2 linked regions of the Macaca mulatta genome follow. The protein of the gene in region 1 binds, or shares a complex with, the protein of each later gene. Links are inferred from orthologs where the notes say so. Each region holds a gene or a part of one and is shown on either strand. Other genes may lie near its edges. The genes, in order: PPARGC1B and PPARA.

What was found.
Region 2: the proteins of PPARGC1B (region 1) and PPARA are in contact, whole or in part, in a crystal structure (PDB 3SP6), measured with the Homo sapiens proteins. The link is inferred for Macaca mulatta from reciprocal best matches to the Homo sapiens genes PPARGC1B and PPARA. Residues at the interface, in NP_573570.3 of Homo sapiens: Ser154, Leu155, Leu156, Gln157, Leu159, Leu160, Leu161, Thr163; in NP_001001928.1 of Homo sapiens: Val284, Thr285, Thr288, Glu289, Lys292, Phe297, Leu302, Asn303, Gln305, Val306, Leu309, Pro458, Leu459, Glu462, Ile463.

The regions. Positions count from the first base shown.
Region 1 is NC_133411.1:158,687,733-158,703,290, forward strand, and holds the start of PPARGC1B (peroxisome proliferator-activated receptor gamma coactivator 1-beta), read left to right. Parts: upstream 1-5,110; 5' UTR 5,111-5,143; coding exon 5,144-5,221; intron 5,222-7,633; exon of another isoform or gene 7,634-7,699; intron 7,700-15,558. UniProt on the Homo sapiens protein: Plays a role of stimulator of transcription factors and nuclear receptors activities. Activates transcriptional activity of estrogen receptor alpha, nuclear respiratory factor 1 (NRF1) and glucocorticoid receptor in the presence of glucocorticoids.
Region 2 is NC_133415.1:5,330,999-5,346,593, forward strand, and holds the start of PPARA (peroxisome proliferator-activated receptor alpha), read right to left. Parts: upstream 8,412-15,595; 5' UTR 8,280-8,411; intron 8,256-8,279; exon of another isoform or gene 7,769-8,255; intron 7,052-7,768; exon of another isoform or gene 7,032-7,051; 5' UTR 6,950-7,031; intron 1-6,949. UniProt on the Homo sapiens protein: Ligand-activated transcription factor. Key regulator of lipid metabolism. Activated by the endogenous ligand 1-palmitoyl-2-oleoyl-sn-glycerol-3-phosphocholine (16:0/18:1-GPC). Activated by oleylethanolamide, a naturally occurring lipid that regulates satiety.

The sequences.
Region 1 (15,558 bases):
TGAAGCCCTGGCTTCCAGTTCTGGCTCTGCCACTAAAGGGCCGTGTGACCTTAGCCACATTCCTCTACCTATACAGTGAAGCTGGTGGAAAACACCTTTCCACTGCCCCTCCACAGTTCTAAAGTTCTATCATTCAATGGGAGGTGGAGATGGTTTTCAGCATCAACAATACAAAGCAGGCAGCTTTTTAGTTCCTCTTGGCCTGAGTCCCTGCCTCCTGGACAGAAGCTGGGAAATAGATGAGCATCTGGCTCCCTGGCCTGGGTCACAGAATCACAGAATCGTGGGTGGCTGGCAGGAAGCCTCTGCGTTTATCAAGACCCACGTCCTACCTCCCTCCCTCATTCAACACAAATTTACTAAGCAGTTGCATTGAACAGAATGTGGGCAGAGATGGCGGCTGTTGTGTTCACCAATTTATCCATGGCATCTAGCGCAGTGGGTGGCACATAGTAGCTGCTCACTACATATCTGCTGAATAGTGTCTCATCTCCTACAGTAGAGTCACCTAAGGGAGCCTATTAAGCACAGATTCCTGGGCCCACCCCAGACCTCCTGAATTGGAATCTCTGGCGATAGAGCCCAAGTGACTGTCACGCCCTCCAGAGTTTGAGAACCACAGCTGTATGTAGGGTCTGAATAAAGCATTATCTTGCTATCGGAAAGGAGAAAATGCTGATGTTTCAACTTTTGAGCATTTGTCGGTAGTGACTAAAGTATTCAAGTCAAATAGGTTCATTTTGCTGTAGCCATTTCCATGGAGCCTGGCGATCTCTGCGCTTTGCACTAGGTATGCACAAGGCTCACTTTCACTAATCTTGAGGGAGACGAGGCTGATAAAAAAAGGCAGAGAAGATAGGAGTCAAGCCACACAATGTCCAAGCTTGGCATTATTATTGCCCTTCACTTGGAAGTTACCAAACAAGAAATGTGCTGCCCTTCTAGCTTTCATGGGGAGGTTAGATGCTATGAGATTTTTCACCCTCCCTTTCCAGTGTCTGTAGCTTGGACTGTGTACACACCTGGGTTCATATCTGAGCTGTTGACTCTATGTAGTCCGGGGCCAATCACTTTAACCCCCTTTAAACTTTTGTTTCTTCAGTCATAAAATGGACATCATGATTTACCCTATGGAGGGTTGCTGGAAGGATGAGAGATGCTATAAACTCAGGCGCTGGGCACATGCTCAGAACAGAAAAGCTCTAAGTTTTGGTTGATGTCTATAAACTGCCATAACATTTGGGATACAGGACTCTGCAGAGGTTCATCTAGGCTAGCTCCTTCTTTTTTCTTTTTTTTGAGACAGAGTCTTGCTCTGTTGCCCAGGCTAGAGTGCAATGGCACAGTCTTAGCTCACTGCAACCTCTGCCTCCTGGGTTCAAGCAATTCTCCTGCCTCAGCCTCCCTAGTAGCTGGGATTATAGGCAGGTACCACCACACCCAGCTAATATTTTTAAATTTTTAGTAGAGATGGGGTTTCACCCTGTTAGTCAGGATGGTCTAGATCTCCTGACTTCGTGATCAGCCTGCCTCAGCCTCCCAAAGTGCTGGGGTTACAGCTGTGAGCCACTGCGCTTGGTCTGCTCCTTCTTTTTTTTTTTTTTTCTTTTGAGAAGAAGGCTCGCTCTTGTCCCCAGGCTAGAGTGCACCCAACCGACCACTCCTTCATTTTTTTTTTTTTTTTTTTTTGAGACGAAGTTTCGCTCTTGTCCTCAGGCTCACTGCAACCTCTGCCTCCCAGGTTCAAGCGATTCTCCTGCCTCAGCCTCCTGAGAAGCTGGGATTACAGGCGCCTGCCACCATGCCTAGCTAATTTGTGTATTTTTAGTAGAGATGGGGTTTCACTATGTTGGCCAGGCTGCTCTCGAACTCCTGACCTCAGGTGATCCACCTGCCTCGGCCTCCCAAAGTGCTGGGATTACAGGCGTGAGCCACCAGGCCAGGCTGCTCCTTCAGTTTATAGATAAGAAAATAGCCTCAGAGAAGAGAAGCAAATGGCACAAGATCATCTAGCACCTCAGGCTTTTTGAGGGCTTTTTTTTTTTTTTTTTGAGATGGGGTCTCAGGCTGGAGGGCAGTGATGATCACAGCTCACTACAGCCTCAACCTCCTGGGCTCAAGTGATGCTCCCATCTTAGCCTCCAACGTAGCTGGGACCATGAGTGTGCACCATAACCCCTGGCTAATTTTTTTTTTTTTTTTTTTTTGGTATTTTTTGTAAAGATGGGATCTCCCTATGTTGCCCAGGCTGTTCTCAAACTCCTAGACTCAAGTGATCCTCTGGCCTCAGCCTTCTACTGTTGGGATTACAGGCATGAGCCACCACACCCAGGCCAGGACTTTTAATCTCAGTTAAGAACTTCACATTTTTCCACTGGCCAGAGGAACTTCAAATTCCTCCATGAGGCTGAGACTCTGTGAGCGACCTGTGATGAAGGAATTTCTGGGACAATATGCTTTTGAAAAGGAGGCTAGATATCTCAGGTGAGGCCCTTTCTCGCCTAAGTTTCTTGCCAGCCAGAAGACTGTTGTGAGGATATAGTGATTGGCGAGAAAGTCCTTGACATTGGGCAATGTGTGGCTTTTCTACCAACATGGGAGTTTTAAAAACAAAAAAGCCTCTGAGAAAGTGCTGTCGGGCCTTCCCTGGCAAGGCAATGAATGGCAACTCTGCAAGGACCAAGGCTAGAGATGGCTGGCTTTGGGAATACTTCAAAGTTTGGTCATCCAAAGTTTGGCCTCTGGGCTGTAAAGGACACACCACCGGTCAGGGGCCAGGCTGGGCCTGGAAGGGACATCTCCGGAAACCATCCCACAGGACTCTGACTCTGGTGCCCAGGAGAGTAGCAAAAAAATGGGGTCTTGGGAGAGTTCAAGTCCTTAGCGCTAATGGCGATGACATTGGTGATGTTGGTGATGACTATAGTGATGATGGGCATTTCCTGCCTGCAAGATTCAGGGCCAGGCAACTGACTTTACATGAATTGCATTGTTTCATTCAATCCATCCTCATAAGATCCCTATGTGGAGCAAGCAGTACCATTGCTATCCCCACTTTACAGATGAGGAAACTGAGGCTCAAAGAGGTTAAGTAAATGACCAAGGGCACATAGCTAGTTTGCACCAGGATTCAAATCTGAATGTATTGGAGTCCAGAGTCAGTCAGCAGCCTGTAAGTGCTGGAAAAAAGGCAAGTAACATTGGCTAGTGCCTTCAAGGGATATATATTTCTTATTCCCATTTTAACAGAAGGGAAACAGAACAGAGCGCTTAGCATATTCTCCATGAGGTCAGGCACTGGGCCAAGCACTTTACATATATTATCTCCTCAATCATCAAAACATCCCTATGACGTAGGTGGTTTTTTGGTCCCCATTTGTGTAGATGAGGAAACTGAGGCCTGAGACTAAATGACTTGCTATGGTTCCAAATCAAGCAGTGTGACTCCAGGGCCCATGCTCTTCACCCCCTGAACAAACCAGATGTTCCAGTATCCAGATGCAGGGCTTAAACAGAACCCAGGACTCCTGACTCCTAGTCTAGGGCTCTGAGGCTAGAGGCAGGCTCTCTGTTGGAATGCATTGTTCCTTAAAAGCACACTGGCCTTAAGCCCAAAGAGTGAAATCACGCCCTGCGGTTCTGGGAACCTCAGACTGGAGAAGGAAGCTTTTGCCCTGGTGTTCAAGTCTCAGCAGGTGTGCTGGGGACTCTCCCTCTGTTTCCTTCTCCTGCTGGAAGGGAGCCCTTGCTAGGTGGGCAGGGTGGGGCAGCCCTTATGAGTGTAGGGTGGGAGGGCAGGAGGCAGGTGTGCCCAATAAAACAGACCTAAAGCTTCCCGCCTTCTTGCCTTCATCCAGGCAGTGCCCTCATCTCCTGTCTGGCAAACAACAGGGCATGATGATGAGAGTTCAAGTTTGGAGTCAGGAGGTTTGAGTTCTGGTTCTGGCTCAGGCAGTCACTCCATGTACACACTGACAGTCAGTTTCCTTATCTGTATAATGCGTGGTGGTGGTGGCAGAGAATCAAAATTCTCCAGCCTTTTCAGTTAACACATCATCTATTAAGTGCCTACTGTGTGCCAGGAACTGCGGATACAGCAAGTGCAAAAGCAGATTTAGGCCCTGCTTTCATGATGTTAGCGTCTTGTAAGACAGATACAAAGATTAAGTCTTCACTGCAACAAATGTAAAATGGCAACTGTGACCAGCTTTTAGAGAAAAAAGGCCTGCTGATGGAGCTAAGGGAGCCCATCATGGTTGGGGTGGAAGGAGAGGAAATGGCTTGACAGTCCGAGGGGTAATAGGGAAAGATGCCCTGAAGAGATTACTAGGTGAATGGCTGCTGGGTGTACAAGCCCGTTGTGAGTGGGCCTGCGGAGGCTGGCAGGAGCCCAGCCCCTTCATGCATTGTGGGCATTGGTAAGAGAACTCATTGGAGTTTTTTGGGGGAAGGGTGTTGGGGGACGATGAGAGAGAGACATATATGATCAGGTTTAGCACAGAATGTAGGCAAACGCACCCTTCAAGTAAAAGATAAAAATGCCTCCTCCTCCAAGGAGACTTTCTTGATTTCTTTTCTTTTGATCTATGGTATTTCTCCCTCCTTCTCTGGCCTTGTAGCCTGGGTAGAGAAACTCAATCCTCCAGGGGAGTAAGACCTGAGCTTTCCCTTCCTGCAACTGATGTGAGCTGTAGCTTCAAACGAGGTCCTATGCCTTCTTGAGTCTCAGTTTCCCCAGCTGTGCAGAAGCAGGTTGTCTCGCAGGGTCCGCCCAGCGCTAACGCAATGTGATTCGTTCTGGCAGGAGCCGGGGGCTGCCCGCATTGCTGCGCAGGCATCGGGCTGCTGGCTGGGGCACCGCCACCCGGCTGCCTGTGCTTTACCCCCTGCTGAGGGCTGCGGGAGCCGGTCTCGGCGCCAGACGCGGCGCAGGAAAGTGGGTGAGCGACCCCCGGCTCCCGCGGGCGCCGCGCGGCCCCGCCCCCGCAGCCAGCGGCCCTGCGGCAGCCGGGGGCTCGAGCTCCGCCCTCCGCCTCCCGCCGGCCTCACTCCCTCCTCCCTCCTCCCTTGCTCGCTCGCTGGCTCCCTCCCCTCGGGCCGGCTCGGCGTTGACTCCGCCGCACGCTGCAGCCGCGGCTGGAAGATGGCGGGGAACGACTGCGGCGCGCTGCTGGACGAAGAGCTCTCCTCCTTCTTCCTCAACTATCTCGCTGACACGCAGGTACGGCCGGCCGGGGCTGCGGGCCCAGGGCCAGGGGTGCTGAGCTGCGGGGGCCGCAGCCGCAGCCGCGGAGGCCGGGAGGCAGCGGTGGGCGCCCTGAGGTAACTGGGGGTTCCAGGCTGCAGAGCCCCCCTTCCAGGCGCCCTGCGATGCGCTTCGTTACCGGGGCAGGGAGCCGGAGGTTTCCCGGAGCGTGCTGGAGCGCTGGGGGCGCTACTGCCGCTGGGGAGGGTCTAGCTTTGGCCGCTTGGAGTCTGCCCCCCCGCGGGCAGACCTGGGGGGTACCGCGCTTCCTTTGGGAGGTGTAGGCGCGCCACGGTGTGAGGTACCCTCAGGCTGGCGCTGGGTGCTGGAGGCGCGCCGTCAGCTCCCGGCACTTGCTGCCGTACTTTCACGTGGACTTGTGGCCCCGGCACGGGTGCTTGCTCCGGTCTCCGGAGTACCCTAGTCCTCCAGGCTCTAGTCACCCGAGTGCTGTTGCTGGCCCCCCTAGGTTTTCTACCCGCGCCCGCAGCGCGGAGTTTCCTGCCAGTTGCCGGCTAAAGGCATAGGGGTCTGCGGGGCACGTGGACACGCGGGCGGAGACAGCGTCTTCCTGGTTTCGCTATCGGGCGGAGCCCCCTGGGGGGAAAAGCCAGGCTGGATGGGGGCGGAAGGACTGTCTGGGGGCGCCTGGGTCCCCCTGCGGTGCGCGGCCCCGGTGCGCGCTCCACGATGCTGGGGGAAGGGAAGGCGAGGCGCAGTCCCAGGCTCTGGCTGAGCCCGGGAGCCCCACTGGCGACACGCGCGTGACAGGAGAGGGTGCTCTGGTGTGCCAGGGCGCGGGGGAGCAAGGAAGCTGGTGGCTTGGAGACTGGGAGAAGGGTGCTGCTGGGACAAGCAGCCACCAAAAATGTCAGCACGAGGCGTGCGCGCCCCCCACCTCTTCCCCCATTTTCCCCACCCAATGCCTGTTGCAAGCATAAAGTTTGGCTCCAGAGTTAGGGCTTTTTTCTCTGGGCGCCCGGCTGCGGGTCATTGGGAAGCTGGAGATGCGGCGGAACCTCGGAGGAGTCCCCGGGTGCTGGCACACGCCTGGGCACGGAGAGGGGCAGCCGGGCGGAACCGGGCGCGGCTCGCGGGGGCTGATTTGATACCTGGAGTGGGAGCGCCGGTGCCGGCCCGTTTTGCATAACAGTGGAAGGGAGGGGGAAGGCGGAGATGGGGGGAGGGAGGTGGGAGGAGAGAGAGGGAAACTTTGCTTCTTGTTATAATCTGCCTGTCTTTGGGCGGCAGCAGCTGTCATGGGACCGGGTGGGCGGGGAGAGGCTTGCAAGCTGACTCCTTGCGGTGAAACGCGACTTGGAGGGGACGCCGCAGCCGAGACGTTCAGCTCCGGGCGGACTCCGGGTGGCGACTTCGGGCTGGCGGCTGGGACGGCGTGGCGTGGCAGGGTGTCGCCAAGAGGAAGCCCGCCACGCGGGAGGCAGGCCGGCCCTGGCCCGCTGCAGACGCCGCTGCGTAGGGGAGCCGCTGGGCCGCGTGGTCGGTGGCGGGCGCGCTTGGGTGGGTTCGCGGCTGAGGCCGGAGGGGCTAGTGGCGTGTGATTGCGCTTCTCGAGGTCGGGGGGAATGTGTGCTGAGTAGGTTGCGCGCGCGTGTGCATGTGTGTGTGTGTGTGTGCACACGCCGCGCGCGCCGGGCGCGTACCTTTACCTCTGACGAAACTGCGGTGGAGCTCCCGCCGTCGTCGCCGGGCTCCGTCACACGCCCCGCGCCGGTGTCTGCGCCGAAGGCGGGTCCCAGCCTCAGTACCCCCAGAGCCGACAGCTTGGGGCTAGCGGGCACTGAGTGCGGGAGGAGGGGCAGAGTCGCTCTTGGGAAGATTCTGTCCCCAGATCTCGAAATTGCCCGGGGTCGTCTCCAAATCTCTTGGCTGAAATGCGGATGAGGGAGGCCTGAAATAGCCGGAGACTCGTTCAGGGACCCATGTCAAGAACTGTCCGCTTTGGACCATACCCCGGATTTTAACTGGATCTTCAGTGTTTGGCTCAGCAATAATTAATTATTTTGCCCTTTAGCCGCCCAGCGAGCCTAGCTAGCAGAAATATTCCACCCAAGGAGACTAGAAAATTGAATAATCAGGTGTTAGCAGGAGCAGTGCAGTGAAAGTTAATCTGGGACGTTTGCCTTTTTTTTTTTGTTTAACCACGTGACAGGCGGAGGATCTTCTGGTGATCTTTGCCGGCCCAACTTGGGAAATGTAATTGATAGGATGAGCTTTGAGCCGCCCCTAGAAGGCTCGGAGAGCCCAGCCGGAACAGGACCTGGGCGGGCCCAGTGTGCACCTCCTCATTTTACAGTTGGAGAAAGAGGCTGCGAGGGGTGAGCGGCTTGTATGGGACCATGCAGCCAGAGGGTGACAGAGCCACCCAGGGCTCCTGACTCCAGGTCCTGTGTGTTACCTCGAAATAGCACTGGACTTGGAGTCAGAAGGCCTGAGTGGAGTCACCTTCCCCACTCTCTGGCTGGGTGACCCCGGAGCAAGCCATTTGAACTCTCCGAGCCTCATTTCCTCCATCTGTCAAATGGGGCTGGTGGTGCCGCAAGAGAATCCAATGGCCCAGTGGTGGGGGTGAGCATTGTTTTGCATGTGAGATGTTCTGGTTGTTCCTGCAACCCCCTCTCCTCCCCCAAACTTTCCCTGATCCTCCCCTCCTCCATCTCCCTTTGGGAGCTTTGGGGAAAGTGGATTAAATGGTAATTCATTGTCTTTGTCCCAAAAGATTGTTGTTGTCTTTGGTGGCTAATCCAGGGTTAGATTAGAGGGAGGACTTCTGTTTAGAAGACTTAACTTTTACCCATTGGGGCCAAAGTACGGAAATTTAGCAGAACAAGGATTGCGAAAGTTTCTTGGAAAGCTTTGAGGCATGAATCCCAAAGGACTGTGGGTGGCTTCACCTTTGTTCAGGCTGTGCCCCTGGCCCAGAGTGCCCTCACCCACCCGTCCTGCATGGCCTTCTCCTCTAGTAGGCTCTCCCAGCCCAGCTCGTCATGCTTTCTGTCCTCTGGTTTTCTGCATCTGTGTTATACAACCAAGCGCTTTGTGTAAGTCTGGTGTCCAGTAAGATTCTAGCACTAGGGCTGTGCCTTTTATCATTGTGCCCGCAAGGCACCTGTCAATATGCTGAGCCGTGTTCCTTTGCTTAGCTCTTGGCTAGGCACATGGATTACAGACAGGGTCGCAGCTGGGTCCTGCCAAGCAGAAGCTGCCAGGCTGGCAGGGGAGACAGCTGGGCAGTGAGTGTGGGAGAGAGGAATGCAGAGGGCTACAGCTGTGGGCAAAGGCTTTGGCCCCAAAGGCCACACAGCAAGCCCACACTAAATATGGACTATTTGGAGTTGCTTAGGGCATCAGTCATAGATGCACAAAATGTCAGAGTTGGCGGCGGGAATTTTAGAAATCATCTGTTCTAACATCTTATTTAAAAATATTTAATTATAGAATTGTTAGAAAATACTGCCAAGCATAAAGAAAAAAATGAGAAATATATAACATGACCCAAAGATAACCACTGTTAATTGTCATGTATATTTCCAGACTGTTTCTTTCCTGTTCATATAGATCGCATCTTATTTTTAAATAATGGAGTCGCCGCGCACAGTGGCTCACGCCTGTAATCCTAGCAGTTTGGGAGGCCAAGGCGGGTGAATCACCTGAGGTCAGGAGTTCGGGTCCAGTCTGGCCAACATGGTGAAATCCCGTCTCTAGTAAAAATACAAAAATTAGCTGGGCATGGTGGCACACGCCTGTAATCCCAGCTACTTGGGAGGCTGAGGCAGGAGAATCGCTTGAACCCGGGAGGCAGAGGTTGCAGTGAGCCGAGATCATGCCACTTCACTCCAGCCTGGGCAAAAGAGCGAAACTCAGTCTGAAAAAAAAAAAGGAGTTATCCTGAATATACTGATTTGTAACTTGGAATCGCACTGTTTTGTAACTTGTTTTTTTTCTCCTCCAAACAATATGCTGTGAACATCTTTCCACATCAGTAAATATTCTACTTAGTATCTTAATGATTATATAATGTTTCATTGAAGATTGAACCGAAATGTATTTAATTAATCCTTTATCGTTACTCATTTAAGTTGTTTAATTTTATTTTGCTATTGTAAGCAATGCTAAAACGAATATCTTTTTGTGTATGTCTTTGTTCCTTCCTTTACATTCCTAGAAGTGAAATTACTCCATCAAACCCATTCCTGGATTCTCTTCTAGAAAGATTGTACTTATTTGCGTACCAGCATAGTCTGGGAACACCTTGTTTCCTATACCCAGATAACTGTTGATATTTTCATTGTTTTTCATTTTTACCGGTCTGTTCATCAATAAATTCTGTTACCCTTATTGTTTGAATGTGCATTTATTTGATTACTTGTGATGCTGAACTTCTTCCCCATATGATCATGGGTGATTTGTGGTTCTGAGTTTCTGAACTTGGCCCATTTTGTAATTGGTATCTTGTCTCCTTGTTGTTCTAAAGCTGGGACTGAGCACCCAGAAGGGGCCCCTGCCACATGGAGAACTGGGAAAATGGCCCCACACACCCCTTGAAGCCAAGGCCAACTTCTTTTTCAAATCAGTTTGTGGGTTTGGACAAGTGTATAGTGTGTGGGAGAAGGTTGAAGTGTAGCCTTCACTGGGTGCATTTGCCCATTCTTCATCTGTATAAGACTTAGGGAGAGTAACTTCTTCACCTGAGCCAAAAGGGGTCATGTTCACCAGAGACCTGGGCTCCACTTTCGTTGGGATTCCCTGGCTGGTGCTAATGATCAGGATGCCTGTGAAACCCAGGAACGGCAACGGCCCAGCAGCTGGGCCATAGGGGCTCATATTTCCTCTTTACTTTGGGGCCCTGCTCTTAGCAGCTAGTGCAGGCCAGGCAGAAGTTCCACTATGCCACGTGAGTCACCCTCTTCCTTCTTCCTTTGAAATAGAAGAAAGACTGGCTCGAGTGAGAAGCAGCCTTGCAAAGGGGGCTCAGGCTTGAAATGCATTACAAGAACATTGCAGTGTTGATCCTTGCCTTCTCCTTCATCATTGTCATCATCAGTGATGTTTACTCAGTATCCCCTAGACCCCATGCAGTTTACTGAGCCTTCTGTTTGCACTACTACATTTCATGCTCATAGAGATTGTGCAAAATGTAGGTGCTGTTGCACAGTTGTACAGATCTTACAGTTTCAGAGAACTCACTGACTTGTGGAAGACTAATTACCTTTGAGTAAGTAGAAGAGCCAGCATTAGTGGGCAGTGTTCCCAGACTACTTGACTTCAAGCTCCTTGAAGACAGGGACTACTCTTGGTTTTTGTTCATCGTTGTTTTTCTAGCACCTTGAGCTAATGAAGCCACATTGATTGTATAGAGAGAATGCAGAGGCCGGGAGCGGTGGCTCATGCCTGTAATCCCAGCACTTTGAGAGGCTGAGGCAGGCTGATCATGAGGTCAGGAGTTTGAGACCAGCCTCACCAATGTGGTGAAACCCCGTCTCTACTAAAAATACAAAAATTAGCCGGGCATGGTGGTGTGCGCCTGTAATCCCAGCTACTCAGGAGGCTGAGGCAGGAGAATCGCTTGAACCTGGGAGGCAGAGGTTGCAGTGAGCTGAGATTACGCCACTGCACTCCAGCTTAGGCGACAAAGTGAGACTCTTTCTCAAAAAAAAAAAAAAAAAAAAGAGAAAGAATGCAGAACAAGTCCCTCTGCTTCTCTAGGCCTGTTTCTCAATCCTTGAAATGGGGATAATAGGCCCTAACTCTCAGGGTTGGGAGTGAAATAATACAGTGTATCTAAAATGAGCATTCATCTGCTGCTCATAAAACTTAGAATAATTCTCTCTTTGAAACACTTTAGAAGGACAGGATCAAGTATGGAGCTAATTTTCATACATGTAATCTTATTTTGCATAAAAAAGAGAAGCATAATTCTTATTAGAGAGTCAAGGGTACCCAAATAAAGTCATTTGGAAGAAAATGATCAGGGTCAATTTCTATCTGTCCTCCTACAAGGTAGTCAGAGTGCCTCATATCCATCCCATTGATACTCAGCTGATGCAGAATTGATTGGATTGATCTTTCTGTTCTTCTCCCCTTCTGATCTAGGTTTTTGTCTGTTTGTAACTAGATTCCTGCAGTTACTACCAAACAGATCTTTGCCGTACCAGACTTTGTCTTCTTCCATTTGTCCTTAGCCCTGATGGCAGATCAGTCCTCTTAGAGTGCATATCTGACATCACTGTCTTGCTCACACATCTCCCATGGCTCCCCAGTACATTTTTTTCTTTTAAGACTTTATTTTTTTAGAGCAATTTCAGGTTCACAGCAACATTGAAAAGAAGGTACGGAGATTTGCCATATACCCTTGCCCCCAACATGCATAGCCTCCTCCATTATTAACATTCCCCACCAGAGTTATAGATTTGTTCTAAATGATGAACCTACATTGACACATCGTTGTCACCCCAGAGTCTGTAGTTTACATTAGGGTTCACTCTGTGGGTTTGGACAAATGTATAGTGACAGGTATCCACCATGGTTACATAACATCACACAGAATAGTTTCACTGCCCTAGAAATCTGCTCTACCTTTTCATTTCTTCTGTCCCCCAACTCCTGACAACCACTGATCTTTTTACTGTTTCTACAGTTTTGCCTTTTCCAGAATGTCATATAGTTGGAATCATGCAGTATGCAGTGTTTTCAGATTGGCTTTTTTGTCACTTGCTGATGGGAATTTAAGGTTCCTCCATGACTTTCATAGCTTGATAACTCAGCTCTCCAGTATTTTAAAATTAAAGTCTAAACTTAAACCTGATTTCCAAGGGCCTTCAGGTACTTAAGTTGGACAGTTAGGCCCTTGACTTTGTCTTGAGCTGTCTGCTTTTACTTTGGGATCCTGTACTTCCCCAGGAAAACCCTGAATTTTCCTCCTGGAGGCTTAGACTCGGGCTGCCCTTTTCTGTGTCCTCCGTCTCCATTTCCATGATTCATCCTGCGAGCCGCCGCTCACCAGCCATTGTTTTGGCAATGCCTTCTCCCTCACCTCCAAGCCAGCTGTTCCATCTTCTGTGTGGCAGTATGCAGGGCCAGCAGAGCACTGATCTTGGAATCCCCTTATTGGGTTTGAGTCTTGGTTCTGCGATTTGCCAGCTTTGAGGCCTTTGGCAGGTCACATAACCTCTCTGAGCTTCTGTTTCCTCAAGTGGGAAGATATGATGATTATGATTGTTGTGAAGAGGCCAGGCATGGTGGCTTACACCTGTAATCCCAGCGCTTTGGGAGGCTGAGGTGGGTGGATCGCCTGAGGTCAGAAGTTCGAGACCAGCGTGGCCAACATGATGAAACCCCGTCTCTACTAAAAATACAAAAGTTAACTGGGCGTGGTGGCGCATGCCCGTATTCTCATCTACTTGGGAGGCTGGGGCAGGAGAATCACTTGAACCGGGGAGGTGAAGATTAGGAAATCACTCCTGGACGTTAAGCTCCACAAAGGTAGGGATTTTCGTTCATTTCATCCACCTTTTTTTTCCGCCACAGTGAATAGATCAGTGCCTGGAACATAACAGATACTTAATCAGTCCTCATTGAGTGAATGAATATGCTAGACTATGAGCCTCTTCAGGGCAGACGCTGCTTCTTGTTTTATATCTTCAGTCCGAGTGTTCCTGAGAAGGGATGGACTAATCCAAGTCTGGTGGAATGAACTGGAATGTCCTCTCCCCACCACCATCTCTGCCATTTTAATGTATTCATAGCCTACCTGAACTTTAAGCCCCCTCTCGAAAGCCTGCACTCTCTGGAAAGCTTTTTTTTTTGAGATGGCATCTCACTTTGTCGCCCAGGTTGGAGTGCAGTGGCGTGATCTTGGCTCACTGCAACCTCCGTCTCCCAGGTTCAAGCAGTTCTTCTGCCTCAGCCTCCCGAGTAGCTGGGACTACAGGCATGTGCCACCACGCCCGGCTAATTTTTATATTTTTAGTAGAGACGGGGTTTCACCATATTGGCCAGGCTGGTCTTGAACTCCTGACTTCGTGATCCGCTTGCCTTGGCCTCCCAAAATGCTGGGATTGCAGGCGTGAACCACCGCGTCCAGCCTCTGGAAAGCCTTTGAAGCTAACTTCTTCTGCTTCCACCACCCACGTGGCTTGTGCCACTTACTATCCCATGGTATCTGTGTTTGCTTTTATTCCTACAACTGGATTGAAAGCTCTGGGAGGACAAGAAATTATTTTTATCCTGGACTAGCACTGTGGTTGCCTAGAAGAGTGTTTTATATGTTTCAATGTCAGGTTCTCTGAAAAGAACTTTGTATTTTAAATACTTGACTATGGAAAATGTCAACTCATACAGAAGTAGACAGTAGAGAGAACAGTATGGTGACTCCCCATTCCTCCATCACCCAGCGTCCACTGTTGAAGACTTGCAGCCACTCTTATGCCGTCTCTATGTACAAGCCGTCACTTCATCTGTGACTGTTTCACTGTGTATCTGTGAAGAGACTTCTGAGTGCTATTGCATGGATTTCTCCCAATAACTGAGACTGGCTTTCCCTATTTTGTAGGTGATGAAACTGAGGTGCAGGGAGGTTACGTCAGTTGCTCAGGGTCTTGAAGCTAGTGAGCGGCTTACCTGGGATTTGAACCTTCACCATGAGCAGCTCCCTCTCCTTCCAGGCTTGGGGCAGGGGGCCCTTGGAGATATCAGGTACACCTTGCCGTTTCCAGAAGAGAGAACACTGAGGCCCAGCTGCTTGGCTGGAGGAGGCCCAGGCCCCTGACTGCCTGGCAAGTTCATTTCCAGTGTCAGGTTTTGCGAGGTGCGGTGGGCCTTAGCTCTTGGGGAGGGCCAGGGTGGGTAGTCCTCTGAGAGACACCATTGCCCTGAGTGGCTGGACTTTGGGTGGCTGTGGTACTGTGGGGCAAGGTCTACCACCACCCCTGGTCAGACTGCATTTTCTTCCTACTCTTGTCATTCCTGAATCCCAAAGGTCCCCCTTGCAGTTGACCACGAGTTCTCTCATGAGATGCTTAGGACTACCCAGTGAGGGAGCGGGAGCCAAGGGGTCAGCAGCGGGGTTCACAGAGCTCAGAGAGGAGGGGCCTGGCCTGAGGTCACCCAGCTGGGCACAGGGTTGACAGGCTCTTGGTGGCATCTGGATCCGTGGGCTCCCACCCTGTTCTTTCCTCAGGACAGAGACCGAATTGCCACCCAGGTCTAGAGTAGGCGACCAGAGACAAGACCTGAGAGACTTTCACAAATGGTGGGATAAAGTCATTGATTAACTGTCCCCAAAGGCCTGTGATGACTGTTTGGTGTTTTAGGTAAGAAAACAAACATTTGCCCTAATTGTTTGTTTTAGTGGCTGTGAATGCTAGGATTGGGTTCTGCTTGGGGCAAAGCCCTGGGAGCTTGGCAGAGAATTTCTTTGGGCCTTCTTTTTCTCTCTAGGAAATGGGACTGATAGTAGCATATACTCTGAAGGCTTTTAGTGAAGAATAGTTGAGGCAATGTCTATAAAGTGTTCAGAAATGCTCAATGAGTAGTAACCCTTGTTATTATGAAAAAGAGACACATATAATGCAGACTCTGCCATTTGTCTTCCCCCTGAGCTCCAGGTCCTTGATCTAGTCAAGGCCCTGAGGTTCCTCTTGTAGTGTTTTTTCCTGTCTACTTCTGGGGCAGGTGACGAGGGATCACATCCAGTCCTAGCAAGTGTTGCAGTACTGACTTAGGAAACCCATCTAGTGAGATGCCACTTGAAGGGAGAAGAAATATCCAGTAGTGGTTAAGAGCTCTAGGCTTTGGAGTTTTAACTGCCTGTGGTTTAAATCAGTGCTCTACCACTTACTAGTTATGTGACCTTGGGCAAGTATCTTAACTTCTCTGACCTCAGTTTCTTCATATATGATCCCCCAAATTGGGGATAATAATAGTGTGCTCTTTGTAGGATAACTTAAGATAGCTGCAGATAATTAAGGCTTGCAGCTTCACCTGACATATAGTAAGCGCTCAATAAATGGTAGTCGCTAGGATGATGACAACGATAATGATGTAAAAATATGAAACACCCAAATGTCAATTTGAGCTTTCTGGGAGTTGGGAGTGCCTTAGAGATGATCTTGCTTAATGCCCTTACCTTGAAGGAAGGAAACAGACTAGAAACAGATCAGAGGATGCCTTCAGGTCACTCAGCAGAGGCAAGACAGGGCCCTCGGCTGCTGTCTGCTTGGTCAGGGCTGGCTCTGAGTGGCTGGGACTCAACTGTCTGGGACCCACTGTCTGGGAACTCAGCCGGGCGAGCC
Region 2 (15,595 bases), on another chromosome or scaffold:
ATAGAAATCTTCACTCCTCTTTATCTGCAAATCTCTTAAAATGAAGCAAAATAAAAGCAGTCCGACGAGTCCTACCTCCTGGAACACAAACAATATTTCATCTGAGTTTTCTCTAATTTCTCCTGGGAATATTTTAGCTTCACAATCAGAGCGGGAGAAGGACCCTCGCCTTGTTAAATATCAGTGTTGGCCGGGCGCGGTGGCTCACGCCTGTAATCCCAGCACTTTGGGAGGCCGAGGCGGGCGGATCACAAGGTCAGGAGATCGAGACCATCCTGGCTAACACTGTGAAACCCCGTCTCTACTAAAAATGCAAAAAATTAGCCGGGCGAGGTGGCAGGCGCCTGTAGTCCCAGCTACTCGGGAGGCTGAGGCAGGAGAATGGCGTGAACCCGGGAGGCGGAGCTTGCAGTGAGCCGAGATCGCGCCACTGCACTCCAGCCTGGGCGACTAAGCGAGACTCTGTCTCAAAAAAAAAAAAAAAAAAAAAAAAAAAAAAATATATATATATATATATATATATATATATCAGTGTTGCCCAAATCACTTCCCTTTCGCCATATCCCTTCCCTATGAAGTCAGTTGTTTGGAATTTAAATCCATGATCTTGCAGAAAGAAAGAGGATTTTATCTAAATAGATCCTCAGGCCATCTTATAAAAATTCTATTTAATCCATAATATACACCAAACCTAGTGGTGATTACGAAGAGGACCATTTCAGTGGCAGCCCTCACCTTCCTAACACCGTTGTAATGGGAAGTACATATTGGACATCTGGAGGGAACACCCTGTCAATACAGAAGGAAGAAGAGCTCTCTCAGTCTAGGTGTGGGGGAAGCTGCAGGGGCCTGGGGCAATTTTGCTGCGGTGGGATGGAGCGGGCCACCATCTGTAGGGGCTGCTGTCTGCACTCCGGTTTAGGTGCCCCCCCATCCAGCCAGCTCCCACCCACATCTCAGTACTGTGGTGACCACAGACGCCCATCAATACATTCTTCTAGAATTAAATCCTGTTAATCATGTACTTATTCCAGGAACATTTACAAGTACCTACTCAGTTTATAGGTCTAGCAGGGCAGAAAGAAGTAAGACAACCTGTCTGCCCTCAAGGAATTAGTCTCAGTGTGGACAGTCAGACTAACCAGGAACCAGGGTGCCGGCAGCACCGGGCCATGGTTTGACGGAACTGTGTCTGGGCACGGGGAGATTCACTGGGCCTGCATTTCAGCAGATCCCTCTTCAAGATGAAGAGGCCTGGTTCAGGTATGCCATGGAGTTGGAGTAAAAGCAAATGCAAGGTGTAGCCCCACCAAAATCTGAGGTCACAATCACCTTCAAAACACACAGGAGGCCGGGTGCGGTGGGGCTTACGCCTGTAATAGCGAGACTCTGGGAGGCTGAAGTGGGTGGATCACCTGAGGTCAGGAGTTCAAAACCAGCCTGGCCAACATGGTGAAACCCCATCTCTACTAAAAATACAAAACTTAGCTGGGCATGGTGGCAGGTGCCTATAGTGCCAGCTACTTAGGAGGCTGAGGCAGGAGAATTGCCTGAACCTGGGAGGCGGAGGTTGCAGTGAGCCAAGATTAAGCCACTGCACTCCAGCCTGGGTGACAGAGCAAGACTCTGTCCCAAAAAAAAAAAAAAAAAATCACATAGGAACCACTGGTAACAACTTTATTGTACTAGTGGAGAACTCTTAATTGTATATTCCAAAATGAAAAACAATTTTGGTGTGTAAGAGGCGATGGTAGTATGTTGCTTTCTGAAAGCCTTTGAAAAATCCTAAAATGGCCAGAGTGAAAACTACACAGGTATCAGACCTGGCTAAGTGAGAAATGCAGGAGCCAGCGGTATGTCCTTGTGGGGAAAAGAAAGAAAGATCAGCCTGTTACTGTGTCTATATAGGAAGAAGAAGACATAAGAGACTCCATTTGGTTCTGTATTTGAGATGCTGTTAATCTGTGACCCTGCCCCCAACCTTGTCCTTGCAAGAGACATGTGCTGTGGTGACTCAAGGTTTAATGGATTTTGGGCTGTGCAGGATGTGTCTTTGTTAAACAAGTGCCTGAAGGCAGCTTGCTGGTTAAAAATCCTGCTGGTCCCTGGGCAATGGAACATCTCGGTGTGAGACTCGATTGTATGCTCTGTTTACTGAGATAGGAGAAAACCGCCTTACGGCATAAGGCGAGACTTGCTGGCGCAATGCTGCTAAGAGGTTTATGGAGATGTTTGCATATGCATATCAAGGCATAGCATTTTTCCTTTATTCATGTCACAGAGATCTTTATCCATCCATATGTTTTACTGCTAATTTTCTCCCTTCGATGATCCTATTGTCCTGCCACTCCCTTATCTTTAAGATGGTAAAGATAATTATCAATAAATACTAAGGGAACTCAGAGACCGGTGCAGGGCGTGGGTCCTCTGTATGCTGAGCGCGGGTCCCCTGGGCCCACTTTTTCTTTGTCTGTGTCTCATTTCTTTTCTCAAGTCTCTCCTTCCACCTAACGAGAAACACCCACAGGTGTGGAGGGGCCTTCACCCCTTCACTCCTTCTTAAGACACCTCCTGAGATGGGCAGTTTTTTAAGCCACCACTTTGAGCTTCACAACCCTTCAGAGAGGTGGCATGGAGAGGAACTTCATTTTCTGATGAGAAAACAGCAGTTTAAAGAAGGGAACAAAGGTCTCCAGGCCTGGCAGGCAGCAGCTAAGGGGCTAGAATCCAAATCTCATGATTAATGACCTAATACCTTTTCCACTATATCAAGCTGCTTTGCTGATACAAAGCAAAATTTCCAAATTTTCAACCACTTTTACCACATGTGAGCCTCAAAACAAATGCAGCTTAGCTGCAAAGATAACCATGACAGGGTGAGACCTAGCAAGGAGTAAGTTATTTTCTTTTCAAATGCATAAACTTTCAAGACACCATAATACCACTATTAAAAGACGCTAATTAAATATCCTAAAAGCAAAGAATGCACACACCTCTGGGTAACAAGCAAATCTGGTCCTGTCTGGAAAACGTGCCTGCATAGCGGCAGAAATACTTGGAAAAAGAAATACATTCTTTTAAACATGGGCCACTGGAACAGCTAAGGCTTTTTCCTGTTTGATTCTTACCTTAAACTCATCTTATCACCAAGCTGGAAATGTAAATTTTGTGCCCAAGTTTCCCTAACCACATGGCCTTAAAGGTGATCTAGCTTATTCTATGCAATTCATAAGACATAGCACATTTCTACCCCATAATCAGAAACTATACCTTTTTAAAAAGTATCTAGAGCTGGGCGCAGTGGCTCACACCTGTAATCCCAGCACTTTGGGAGGCCGAGGCAGGTGGATCACCTGAGGTCAGGAGTTCAAGACCAGCCTGGCCAACATGGCAAAACCCTGTTTCTACTAAAAATACAAAAATTAGCCGGGCGTGGTGGCATGCACCTGTAATCCCAGCTACTTGGGAGGCTGAGGCAGGAGAATCCCTTGAACCCGGAAGGCGGAGGTTGCAGTGAGCTGAGATTGCACCACTGCACGCCAGCCTGGGCAACAAGAGCTAAACTCCATCTCAAAAAAAAAAAAGAAAGAAAAAAAAAGAAAAAGAAAAAGAAAAATGGACTCTATGCCAAGCTACCAAAAACAAATAAAAACAGCGACTCTCAAGTTCCAAAAAAGCAGAAATTAGGCCACAACCTCTAACTGCAATGTAACAAAATTAGTACAAACATTAAAGAAAAACACTGGCTGCTTAGAAGTGAAGACACTCATCCTATTTGCCATTAAAAATATATCCATCCACATACAGAAACCAAGAGAGCAAAAAAAAAAAAAAAAGAGAGAGAGAAAAAAATTGGCACATTTCAAATATATTTATAATGAGCAAATAAATATTTTAATTAATGTTTTTTTTTTTTCTAAAAGACCACTTAGGCCTGGTGCAATGGTTCATGGCTATAGTCCCAGCACTATGGGAGGCTGAGGCAGGAGGATGGCTTGAGCCCAGGAGTTTGAGACAGGCCTGAACAACATAGCAAGACCCCGTCTCTGCAAAAAATACAAAAATTAGTCAGGCATGGTGGCGTGTGCCTGTGGTCCTAGCTGCTTGGGAGGCTGAGGTGGGAGGATCACCAGAGCCCAGGGAGGTCCAGGCTGCATCAGGCCATGATCACGCACCTGTGCTCTAGCCTAGGTGACACAGTGAGATTCTGTCTCAAAAATAAGTAAATAAATAAAATTTAAAAGACTGCTTAATGATGACTACATAAATATTTATTTATTTTTTGAGACCAGGTCTCACTCTGTCACCCAGGCCGGAGTGCAGTGGCGCCATCTCAGTCACTGCAACCTCCACTTCCCAGGCTCAAGGGATCCTCCCACCTCAGCCTCCCAAGTAGATGGGGCCACAGGCACACGCCACTACACCCGGCTAATTTTTGTATTTTTAGCAGAGGCGGGGTTTCGCCAGGTTGCCCAGGCTGGTCCTGAACTCCTGGGCTCAAGCAATCCATCTCCTTCGGCCTCACAAAGTGCTGAAATCACAGGCGTGAGCCACTACGCCTGGGCTACTTAAATATTTATTACAAAAACAGACTCTCCAAAACAGCACACAAGAAACTGAACACTGACCACCAATTACTAAAGAGTAAGATGTCCTGGCAAGAATAGGTTCTTCATCTTTTACCATGAGGAGGATTATCTTTACGTTTCCTTTTTATTTCTGGTGTGAAAATCAGTTTCATGGATCCATGCTTGTCTTGTTCAGCATTCGGGACAGTAGCCCACAGCAGCTACTCAGTAAATATTTATAGAATGACTGCATTAAATACATACACATATATAAAGAGATTGGTTAAATATTATTGTATCTAAACACAATAGGATATTATATATACATTTCAAATGATGCAGAAATGTTTTCCACATAGAAAGATTTTTCATAACCTAGTCAATAAAAAGTTATAAAATAGTTTATAAAGAAGACAGGTTTTCTCTTTCTTCTCTCTAGTTCTCTCTCTCTCACATACAATTTTTTTTTTTTTTTTCTGGAGACGGAGTCTCACTCTGTCACCCAGGCCAGAGTGCTGTGGTACCATCTCAGCTCACTGCAACCTCCCTCCCGGGTTCAAGCAATTCTCCTGCCTCAGTCTCCTGAGTAGCTGGGACTACAGGCGCCTGCTACCACGTCCAGCTTAATTTTCATATTTTTTTTGTAGAGACAGGGTTTCACCATATTGGCCAGGCCGGTCTCAAACTCCTGATCTTGTCATCTGCCCACCTCAGCCTCCCAAAGTGTTGGGATTACAGTTATGAGCCACCGCGCCTGGCTGATACACTATTTTTAAAACTCTGTTCATAAGTTTGATAAACAGGAGCTGGTGAAAACCACTGCAGTATTTGATGATTATGGCATGTCTCTTACTTTGTGTTTAAGACGTCGGAAAAGGGCCCGGCACGGTGGCTCACGCCTGTAATCCCAGCACTTTGGGAGGCCGAGGCGGGAGGTTCACCTGAGGTCAGGAGTTTGAGAACAGCCTGGCCAACATGGCAAAACCCTGTCTCTACTAAAACTACAAAAATTAGCTGGGTGTGGTGGTGAGTACCTGTAATCCCAGCTATTCGAGAGGCTGAGGCAGGAGTATCACTTGAATCCGTGAGGCAGAGGTTGCAGTGAGCCAAGATCGTGCCACTGCACTCCAGCCTGGGTGACAAGAGCAAAACTCCATCTCAGAAAACAAACAAAACAAAACAGATGTGGGAAAAGAAAGAAAAAACATTTTTTCCTACTGTCGGTTAATTAATTTTATTTTATTCATTTGTTTTTGAGATGGAGTCTTGCCCTGTCACCCATCCTGGAGTGTAGTGGCACAATCTCAGTTCACTAAAACCTTCACTTCCCAGGCTCAAGCAATTCTCCTGCCTCAGCTTCTTGAGTAGCTGGGATTACAGGTGTCCGCCACCACGCCCAGCTAATTTTTCTATTTTTTTTTGTAGAGATGGGGTTTCACCATGTTGGCCAGGCTGGTCTCAAACTCCTGGCCTCAAGTGATCTGCCCACTCCGGTTTCCAAAGTGCTGGGATTACAGGAGTGAGCCACCGCACCCAGCTTGCCAATTAATTTACTTTTGCTTCGGAGTTACACAGGTCATCATCAGCCCCAGTGTCCCTGGTCTCTCATGAATGGTGACCACACAAATTCATATCATCTGGCCGTTTCTTCAGCCTATCCTTGGCATGTTCTGGCATTGGCCTATCTCAACAAGCCATCTACTTAATATTCAAATCAAAATGAAAACAGCTCAGAGACGGTATACTGCTCGGTACCAGTCAGTGTGGACATCCCAAGGGTCTGCTAAGCACCCACATTTCTCAAAGTTAATGTTACCAAGTTTTAAATTATACAAAACATGCCTGCCATGAAGCAATGAAGTTCCCAGCAAAACTCACACAATAACTCAGAACTTAAAAGTGAATCCTAGGCCGGGCACGGTGACTCACGCCTGTAATCCCAGCACTTTGGGAGGCTGAGGCAGGTGGATCGTGAGGTCAGGAGTTCAAGACCAGCCTGGCCAAGATGGTGAAACCCCCATCTCTACTAAAACTGCAAAAATTAGCTGGGAGTGGTGGCAGGCTCCTGTAATCCCAGCTACTCTGGAGGCTGAGGCAGGAGAATCGCTTGAACCCCAGCAGCAGAGGTTGCTGTGAGCTGAGATCAGGCAACTGCACTCCAGCCTGAGCGACAGAGGGAGACTCCATCTCAAAAAAAAAAAAAAAAAAAAAAAAAAAAGTGAACCCATGCACATGTATCTTACTTTCAGTCTGAAAATGTATCTAACCTTGCATCACAAAGTAATAACCCCCAGATTGCTGGTCTGTAGTACAACAACAGTAAACACTGAAAACACTTAAATATTTCCATCTGGAAACAGTAAATTAAACCTTCTACTTACCTGTGGTGACAGCTTCTCAGTTCTGAGCTTGTCTTGCCACAAACTGTGAGTCCACAGAGCAGACGGGGCCCTGAGCTTCAGCCTGGCAGTAAGAAGGTGAAGGAGGAAGTGATTACGCTATGTTCTCTGAATGCCCCCCAACTCTTCACCTTGGAAGAGGAAAGTCATCCCGACCCTGCCCAGCAACGACAGGGGGTGTCACAGGGTCCTTCTCAGTAAAACCCCGTGTCCTTGCCCTGACCCAGTTCCTCAAGCCACCCTTATCCCAAGGAGGCTGGGAGAGGAGGGGCCTCCCTGGTTTCCTGGCAGGGGTCGGCGGGGGCGGCGGGGGCTGACGTGGTCGTGCAGCCCCGGAGGTCCCACGAAGCCCAGGGCGTTGGACAACTGTGGGTTTTTCTTGGAAGGAATCCTGACACTTGGAGCACACTTCCTCTCTTTTAACTTTTAAGAAAGGCTTCAGAAAAGCACAGGCGTGCAGTTGTGCCCTGTTAGTTGGGGTGAGTGAGGGGACAGAGCCGACCCTCCGGACTTCCACTAGCACCACCCCGCGCCCCTCCGGCTTCACCCGCACCACGCGGGCCGCGCAGCGCGGGACTCCGGAAAGACCTGGGCGCCCGACCCGCAGCCCGACCCGCAGCGGCCCCGACCGGCAGCGACGTGGCGCGGCTTCCGCAGAGAAGCCACCCGGCCCAGCACAGCCTGTCTGGGGTCGCCCCGCCGCGTTGGGGCACAAAGTGGGAACCGTTCCTCAAAGGTGGCCGCAGCTGGAAGAACAAACACGCGCGTCTCCGTCCGACGGCAGCAGCCGGGCGCACCCACCCAGGGTCGGTCTGTCCGGGGCCCGGGTTTCCTCGCCTCGGGGATCCCTGGAGGTCTCGGAAAGCACCCTCTGAGTCGGGGACGCCCCAGCTCCACCGCGCCGAGGGAAGGGCAAGCCCCGATGTCCCTGCCCGTGGGCCCTCCCTCCCAGGGGACAACCCGAAGACCCAGAGTCGCTGCGGTCCCCAGACCCGACCTCCGCGCAGCGCCAAGCCCCAGGGACAGCCGCGGACTCTGGGGTTCCGGGCAGGCCCCCAGCGCTAGGAGGGAGGCCGAGCTGGGCCCCGGGATCCCTTGCACGAGTCCTCGGTGTGTGTCCTCGCTCCTAGCCCTCAGGTCTCCAGCCGCGCACCCCGGGCCCTCAGGTCCCCGGGACCCCGAGACCCCTGGCCCCGCGCATGCGCCGCCCACCCTCTGCCCTTCCCCCGTCCGCCGCCCTCCGGGTCCCGGGACCGGGAACGCACGGCCCGCGGACCCCTGCGCGCGTGCCCGCCCGCCCGCCCCCGGGCACCTGGGCCGCGGTCCGCCGCCTGCCGGTCCGTGGGGCGAACGCCCAAGGAGGCGGCGCCGGGCAGGGCGCTAGCGGCCGCCTCCGCCCCCGCCGCCCGCTGCCCCCGCCGCGGGGCCGCCGCGTCCACGGCCCATGCTCGGCGCCGCCTCCGCGCGTCCGTGCCAGCCGCGCCCCCGCGACACGCACCGCCCCTTGGCCCGCCCCCCGCCCCGGTCCGCTCGGGCGAGTGTCCCGAGGCCCGACCCGGAAGCCCCGCCCGCCCAGCGCGCCCTCCGGGCCCCAGGCCGCGGCCCCGGGACACACCCCCCGGACGGCGGCGCCCGATTGGCTGATCGAGGTGGGCGGGGCCCCGGGAGCGCTCAGCGGCTCCCACCTAGCGCCTCGCGGTCGCTGCAGCCAAGGGAAACTGAGGCCGGAGAGGTGGAGGGGCTGTCCAAGGTGACCGACGGGACACCGCTGAGCGTCGGCGCCCCTCCAGCCCGAGGCACCAGGGTGGGGCTGAATTCTAGGCGTGGACACGCCGCGGGGCGGGTGGAGGTTCTCGCCGGTCGCCAGTGCCACGCTGGCGAGCCCCTCCTGCCTTCTCGATGAGCCCGGCTGTGCCGCTCTGTGCGATAAGCCGGTCTAGACCCGGGACCCGGGACCGGGTGCTCTTGAGTCTCAGAAGTGCGTGGGGTGGGAGGCGGCCCGGGAAGGACCTTGTCCCTGGAACCCCAGGATGCAAAATAAGGAGAAGGGGAAGGCGAGCTGGGAGGACAAGGAAACAGGTGGCGAGAGGTGCCAGGGCGGTGTGGCGGGCGGGGGAACGAGGAGGGTGAAGGGCAACGCGGACGGGCTCGGGGAGGCGCCGCCAACTCCGACCCCACAACCCCACCCCTCTCCAGCAACCCGAGACCCATGCCCGCCCCCTACTCCATGCGCTGGGGGGTGAGGGACTGACTTTGTGCCCACGTAAGGCACTGGGACTCTGCCAGCGCAGGGGGAGGTCGCGGCCTGGCGGCCAATGGCGAGGAGTAGGAGAGCGCCCTGCAAAGCCGCTTTGTTCGCGCCGTGACGCCCGAGCTCCCCGCGCGGAATGCACAAACCCCCTTGGTGCCGGCACATCAGGGCGCCCATCCTTGGGAACGCAATGTGTGCTATGCCCGCCCCACTGCCTGCCCTCCACTGCCAGCTGCGCCTGCCACTGTGCTATTTGTGGCAGCCGGCGCCCAGGAGGACCCACTCCGGAAAGGAAACACAAATCTCATTAGGCAGGGGAACTGGAGACCAGGTGGGAACTGGCCCTTTCACAAACTTCTCTTAAACTCACCCTAGTTGATTAGCCAGGCACCTGTGGTGAACTTTGTCCCACCCTCCAGACACCCATATATCCTTCCCACTGGCACACCGCAGCCTCACCTTCTCTTGCACATGCTAGCCAGCAATAGCTAAGATCTATGTTATGTTTCAGAGTTTACAGGGTGATCCGCACACGTAATATCCTGGATATCTCGCGGGGGGTGCAGGCAGCCACATCCACGCTTGTCATCCTGCTGTGTTTGGTGAGGGAAGCTGACACTCCGCAGCCCACGCAGAGCTCAGGGGCTATATCCTCATGAGGACCTCTGGGCTCAAAGATATTACCTGGTGTCCCCATATCCCAGGCTCTCAAGGACCAGGGTCCACACAGGTGTGTTGGCTTCTTTTCCCAGATGCACCACCCAGGTCAACCAGGTGTTGAAAGACCTGGTGAACCTTCTCATGAACAAGGACAAAGGCTGTGTGGGGGTCTGTAGAGTGGTCATTTACACTCAGCAGACACAGAAAACTGATATTCTTGGGTTTTTGGGGCTCCCAAGGTTTTAGGGAGAGAAAACTTGTTTTTCATCCATGTGTCCCAGAAATAAGCATTTTCAATCAAATGCTGTCAGCCAGTCTCCCGCAGGCGTCCCGAGGGTAGAAGCAAGTTCAGGACTCTTCTCTTGGGCCAGAAACAGCCCCGCATCCACTGCCTCCCAGGGGTGGTAGGTTTCTTTTGGGAAACCACGCTCAGATGAGAGAGATGAAGCAATTTTCTGTTGGCCTCGAAGACCTTGTCACACACCCAGCATGGGAGCAACTGTCACAAAGGGCACACCGCCACCCCCACTCCCAGCTCCAGAAAGTCTCTCTTTACCTTCTTCAGTGCTGATGAAATGAGGAACAGAAACACCGCTGGCGCAGGGACTGAGTAGAAATCTGTAACTCTGAGGACAAATCAGTGCTCTTGAAAATGCCTCTGAGTGCCACCTGAGTTTCCGCTCTGGAGCCTTAGTGACTGCTGGGAGCATCTGGTGCATGAGGATCTTAGTTCATAGCTACCATTTATGTGGTGACAATGCCATCTCAGGTTCCGTTTTGCATTTTCTGATCTGGAAGATGTTCTGAGGGTAATTATTACTGCGCCCACATTACCAGATGGAGACTGAGGCACAGAGAAGCCCCGTCTGCACCGGGTCCCCCAGGCCAGTGGCAGGGCGCAGGACGGAAGGCAGGTCTGTAGAGCCCATATCTGCCCTGCTGAGCCGCTCACTCTTGCAAGTGCTGGCCTGCCAGCCAGCCAGAGAAGCCGAGGCCCTCCCACGGCCTCAGGGAAAGAATTGGGAAGCTGGGAATTCAGAGAGGAAAGGGTTGCTGGAGGAGGCAACCTGGAGTGATAGGGCTTGGCCGCTCAGTACTGGGCAGCAGGTAGACCCTGAGTGTTGGGAGCAGGTGATGACAGCCATTTGTGTTCAGGCACCCAAGTGCTTTCCCTGACACTGCCAGGGTGAAGCTTCTCCTATGGGCCTGGGGTCCAGACTGGAGTCTGTTTGCCATCCAGGGCCTGCGAAGTTTGCTGCTGGCTTGCCCTCTGCTGATGCGCACAGCTCTCTGTCAAGGGGGAGTGTATGCTTCCAGGGCATCATCCACCAGGGCAGTGGCCTCTGAGCTCCTGGAAGCGCGCCTGCAGGGTCAGGTGCTGGAAGTCCACTGGGGCAGGGGCCGTGGGCTGAGAAAGGGAGGGTTCACTGGCAGCGAGCAGGGAGCTGCTTGGTGACCTGAGGCTGGATCTTGTCGGTAAGGGCGAACCATGGGCATGTCCTTGGTTGCCATCCTGGTATTGACAGCAAAACCCCATGGGTCCAAGGTAACGAAGTATTGTCACACTAGGGGACAGAATCTATAAGAGTCCCACAAGGCAGCTGTGATTATGCCCATCTTACAGATGAGGAACAAAGGGCCAGGAATGGCAGCATGTGGCCAAGGTCCCCAGCAGGGAGTGAGAACTCTCCCGAGTACCAGTCCATCAGCACCTGGCCCTGGGTACCCCCAGGGTTCGGTTGTCTGTTGCAGACGCTGTCTGTGGGCTGATACGACAGCCTCTGGCAGACTCAGGAGCCCGGGGCCAAGGATGGGATTTCACTGGTGGCTGGTCCTGGCCCCACAGCTCCAGTGGGGGTGGCAGCAGCATGTGCAGAAGCTTGTGGCAGGAGAGAGGGGACACGTTCACAGGGAGAGAGTATGGAGATGGCACAAGGCGGGCAGAGCTGGGCAAGGCCCTGGTCAGGCAGGTCTTGCAGCCCAGTGGGAAGTATGACTTTGGTCCTAAGGGCTGCAGGACACCTGCGATGGAGGGTTGTCAGCAGAGGCGTGACTCCATCAGATTAGCACCAAGTGCTGCTTGCTACATGTTAACCAGTGGTCACAGCTGAAGTGGGGGGGAGGGGCTTAAGCTGTGCATCCATTCTAGCTTTGCAGGATCTGGAAGCTTCTGCAGGTCCAAAAACTGCTGCTGTCATGACACTCTACCCTTTGTTAATTAACCAGTCCCCAGCTTTGCAGCAGGCCCCATTTGACATGGCTCAGATGTCTGTCTCTATAGATCTTGAGAGGACCAGGGCAGCCCACCTGCGGCCGCACTGCCTCCCTTCTTTGCACCTCCAAAGGGACAGGTGCCCCCCTCGTCACATAGGATCCAGCTCCAGGGCTGGATCATGGATGTCGTTTATCCAGTCCAGGACATGGACTGGAAGCTGCAGGACCCCTGCCTGTGTCATGCTAGGTGCTGTGGGAGTCTCACTGCAAAGCGTGATGTGAGGATCGACGGATTTTCTTTTCTTTCTTTCTTTCTTTTCTTTTTTTTTTTTTTTTTTGAGATGGAGTCTTGCTCTGCACTTGTGCACTTGTTGGAGTGCAGTGGTGAGATCTCAGCTCATTGCAACCTCCATCTCCCAGGTTCAAGCGATTCTCCTGATTCATCCTCCTGAGTAGCTGGGATTACAGGCACCTACCACCACACTAATTTTTTGTATTTTTCACACAAACAGGGTTTCACCATGTTGACCAGGCTGGTCTCGAACTCCTGACCTCAGGTGATCTGCTCTCCTTGGCCTCCTAAAGTGCTGGGATCACAGGAGCCACTGCGCCCAGCCAGATAGTCGTATTTGGTCCATGAAGGATGATCTACTTTACATGGAGTTGGATTCTGCAATGATCTGACTCAGTGGCTGGCAGTGAGTGGCACTGCTGCAGGCAGGGAAGACTGAAAGTGCAGAGATGAGGCTTGGCATGGCGGACTGGAAACGCACAAGGCGGGCAAGCTTACGTGTACAGCACCCTGCCGCCTGGGCACTATCCCCCCACTTTCCATCATAGAACGAGTGGGCAGTGCCTGGGGTTTGGAGTTCAACAGAACTGGATTCAAATCCTCCTGTATCTTTTTCTCACACTACAACCTCCAGCCGGTGATGCTATCCGAGCCCCCTTATCTCTAAAGTGGGGCAGGAACACCTGCCTCGATGGGTCCTGGTGTGAATTTGAGGAGGGAGCACAAGGGTGGTGCAGGGTGGGGCCTGATGAGTGGGTCATATTTGGGACATGGTAACCACCAGCTTGAGGGCTCTGCCAAGAGTTGCCGCCTACAGGAAGCCTGCTTGGCAACCGTCCCCCTGCCAAAGCCACCCTCTGCCTTGTGTGGCCACCACCTCCTGTGTTCCATGTGGCTCTTGTCACATCCAGCACCATCTTTACAGGGCCCACTGCCTGGTCCTGTCTCTCCACTCAGGACAGCTGACAGGCAGCCCTGATGCCTCGCAGACACCAGCCCCAGTGCCTACGTGTCTCCCGCCCATGATCCCCTGTCCCACCCTGTTATCTGCCTTTCACCAAAGAATCCTGCCAGCCAGGAAAGGCAATGTGAACTGGAGCCCGTGCAGCTGAGTGGAGGGGAGGCTGCCCTCTCGCATTGCTCTGCCTTGGGTTTCACTAAAATATGGGATTGGGCCATGGTCCCTCATCTCCTGGAAGGGACAGGTCACGTTTAACAAAGTTTTCTGGGTCTGCAGCAAAGTGAAAACAAAAAACAAAAGAAAACAAAAACGGACATTGTGAAGAGTTTCCTATAGAACTTCAACTAGCTGATTTAAAGAAATAGCCTCAGGGACGGGCACGGTGGCTCATGCCTGCAATGCTAGCACTTTGGGAGGCCGAGGCAGGTGGACCACCTGAGGCCAGGAGTTCGAGACCAGCTTGGCCAACATGGTGAAACCCCATCTCTACTAAAAATACAAAAATTAGCCGGGTGTGGTGGTGCACGCCTGTAGTCCCAGCTACTCTGGGGGCTGAGGCAAGAGAATCGCTTGAACCCAGGAGGCAGAGGTTGCAGTGAGTGGAGATCAGCCTGGGTGACAGAGTGAGACTCTGTCAAAGAAAGAAAGGAAGAAAGGAAGGAAGGAAGGAGAAGGAGGGAAGGAAAGGAAGGAAGGAAGGAAGGAAGGAAGGAAGGAAGGAAGGAAGGAAGGAAGGAAGGAAGGAAGGAAGGAAGGAAAATAAAAAAAGAAAAGAAAAAAAGAAATAGTCTTGGGCTGGGCATGGGGGGCCTGTAATCCCAGCAATTTGGGAGGCCGAGGTGAGTGGATCACCTGAGGTCAGGAGTTCAAGACCAGCCTGACCAACATGGTAAAGCCTGTCTCTACTAAATACAAAAAAGTAACTGAGCGCGGTGGTGCATGCCTGTAATCCCAGCTACTTGGGAGGCTGAGGCAGAATTGCTTGAACCCTGGAGGCAGAGGTTGCAGTGAGCCAAGATTGCGCCATTGCACTCCAGCCTGGGCAACAAGAGCAAGGCTCCGTCTCAAAAAAAAAAAAAGAAAAAAAAAGAAATGACCTTTTCTTCAGGCCAGGCATAGTGACTCACACCTGTAATCCCGGCACTTTGGGAGGCAGAGTGGGGAGGATTGCTTGAGGCCAGGAGTTTGAGACCAGCCTGGGCAACATAATGAGACCCCATCTCTACAAAAAGTGAAAAAAAAAAAAAAAAGTAGCCAAGCAAGGTAGCATGTGCCTATAGTCCCAGCTACTCAGGAGGCTGAGGTGCAAAGATCACTTGGGCCTGGGAGGTTGAGGCTGCAATGAGCTGTAATCGCACCACTGTACAGCCTGAGCAACACTGAGAGACCCTGTCTCAAAGAAAAACAGAGAAATATCCTTTTCCTTCCCAAGACTATATCCTTTATGTTCTTTTTTTGTGGTTGAAAATACCTTTCCTTAGTGGGAATTGCTTAGATGAAGTGTTGATAGTAGTTGTAGGGGTTGGTTAGCTTTGACTTGGCAAAACCAAGATATTGGCAAACACCGTGTCTGTCCCCAAAGCTATTGAAAATGGCACCCATCCGTAACAGCCCAAGGTCCAGGGGCCGCCCCCTCACTCCTCAGATGTGTTTTATTTACTGATAAACACACAGCACCAAGAATTCCTGACATTTTTCCAATATTTCCATGCCAGCTCTCTTCTCCATTTTATTAGTGATATTTATTTTCAAGTCAACACATTGGTTTGTGTTGAGACTTGCAATGTTGGAATATAAAGTTCTATGTGAGGCCCTGATTTTGATCTTTGACAAAGCCAAGGAGCAGGGTGTGGGCTACAACCTTGAGAACCTGCAGGAGCTATGCCCACACGGGCCTTGGCTTGCATGCCATTGGGCACCCTCCCGGGGGGGCCCCGGCCTGGGGAAGAGCCTCCTCTCTGCCTGGGAGCCTCGAGGTGTGCAGAGGAGGGAGTTGGCTGGAGCCAGATGTGTGAAGGCAATCAGTGTTTCTCTGCAAGGTGACGGTGGCACGGGGCAGGCAGACACAGGACCAGCATCCTGGCAGGCAGGGTTGTTGGATGGCTGGTGGGGAAGACAGGCTGGGAGACTGTCAATTCATCGTTCCCCCTCTCCAGGTGGGGGCATTAAACTAGATCAAAGCATCTTGGTGAGTGTTCGTGCTAAGTTGAGTTTTTAAAACAAAACCAAATAACTAGCTAGGGGGTGCTC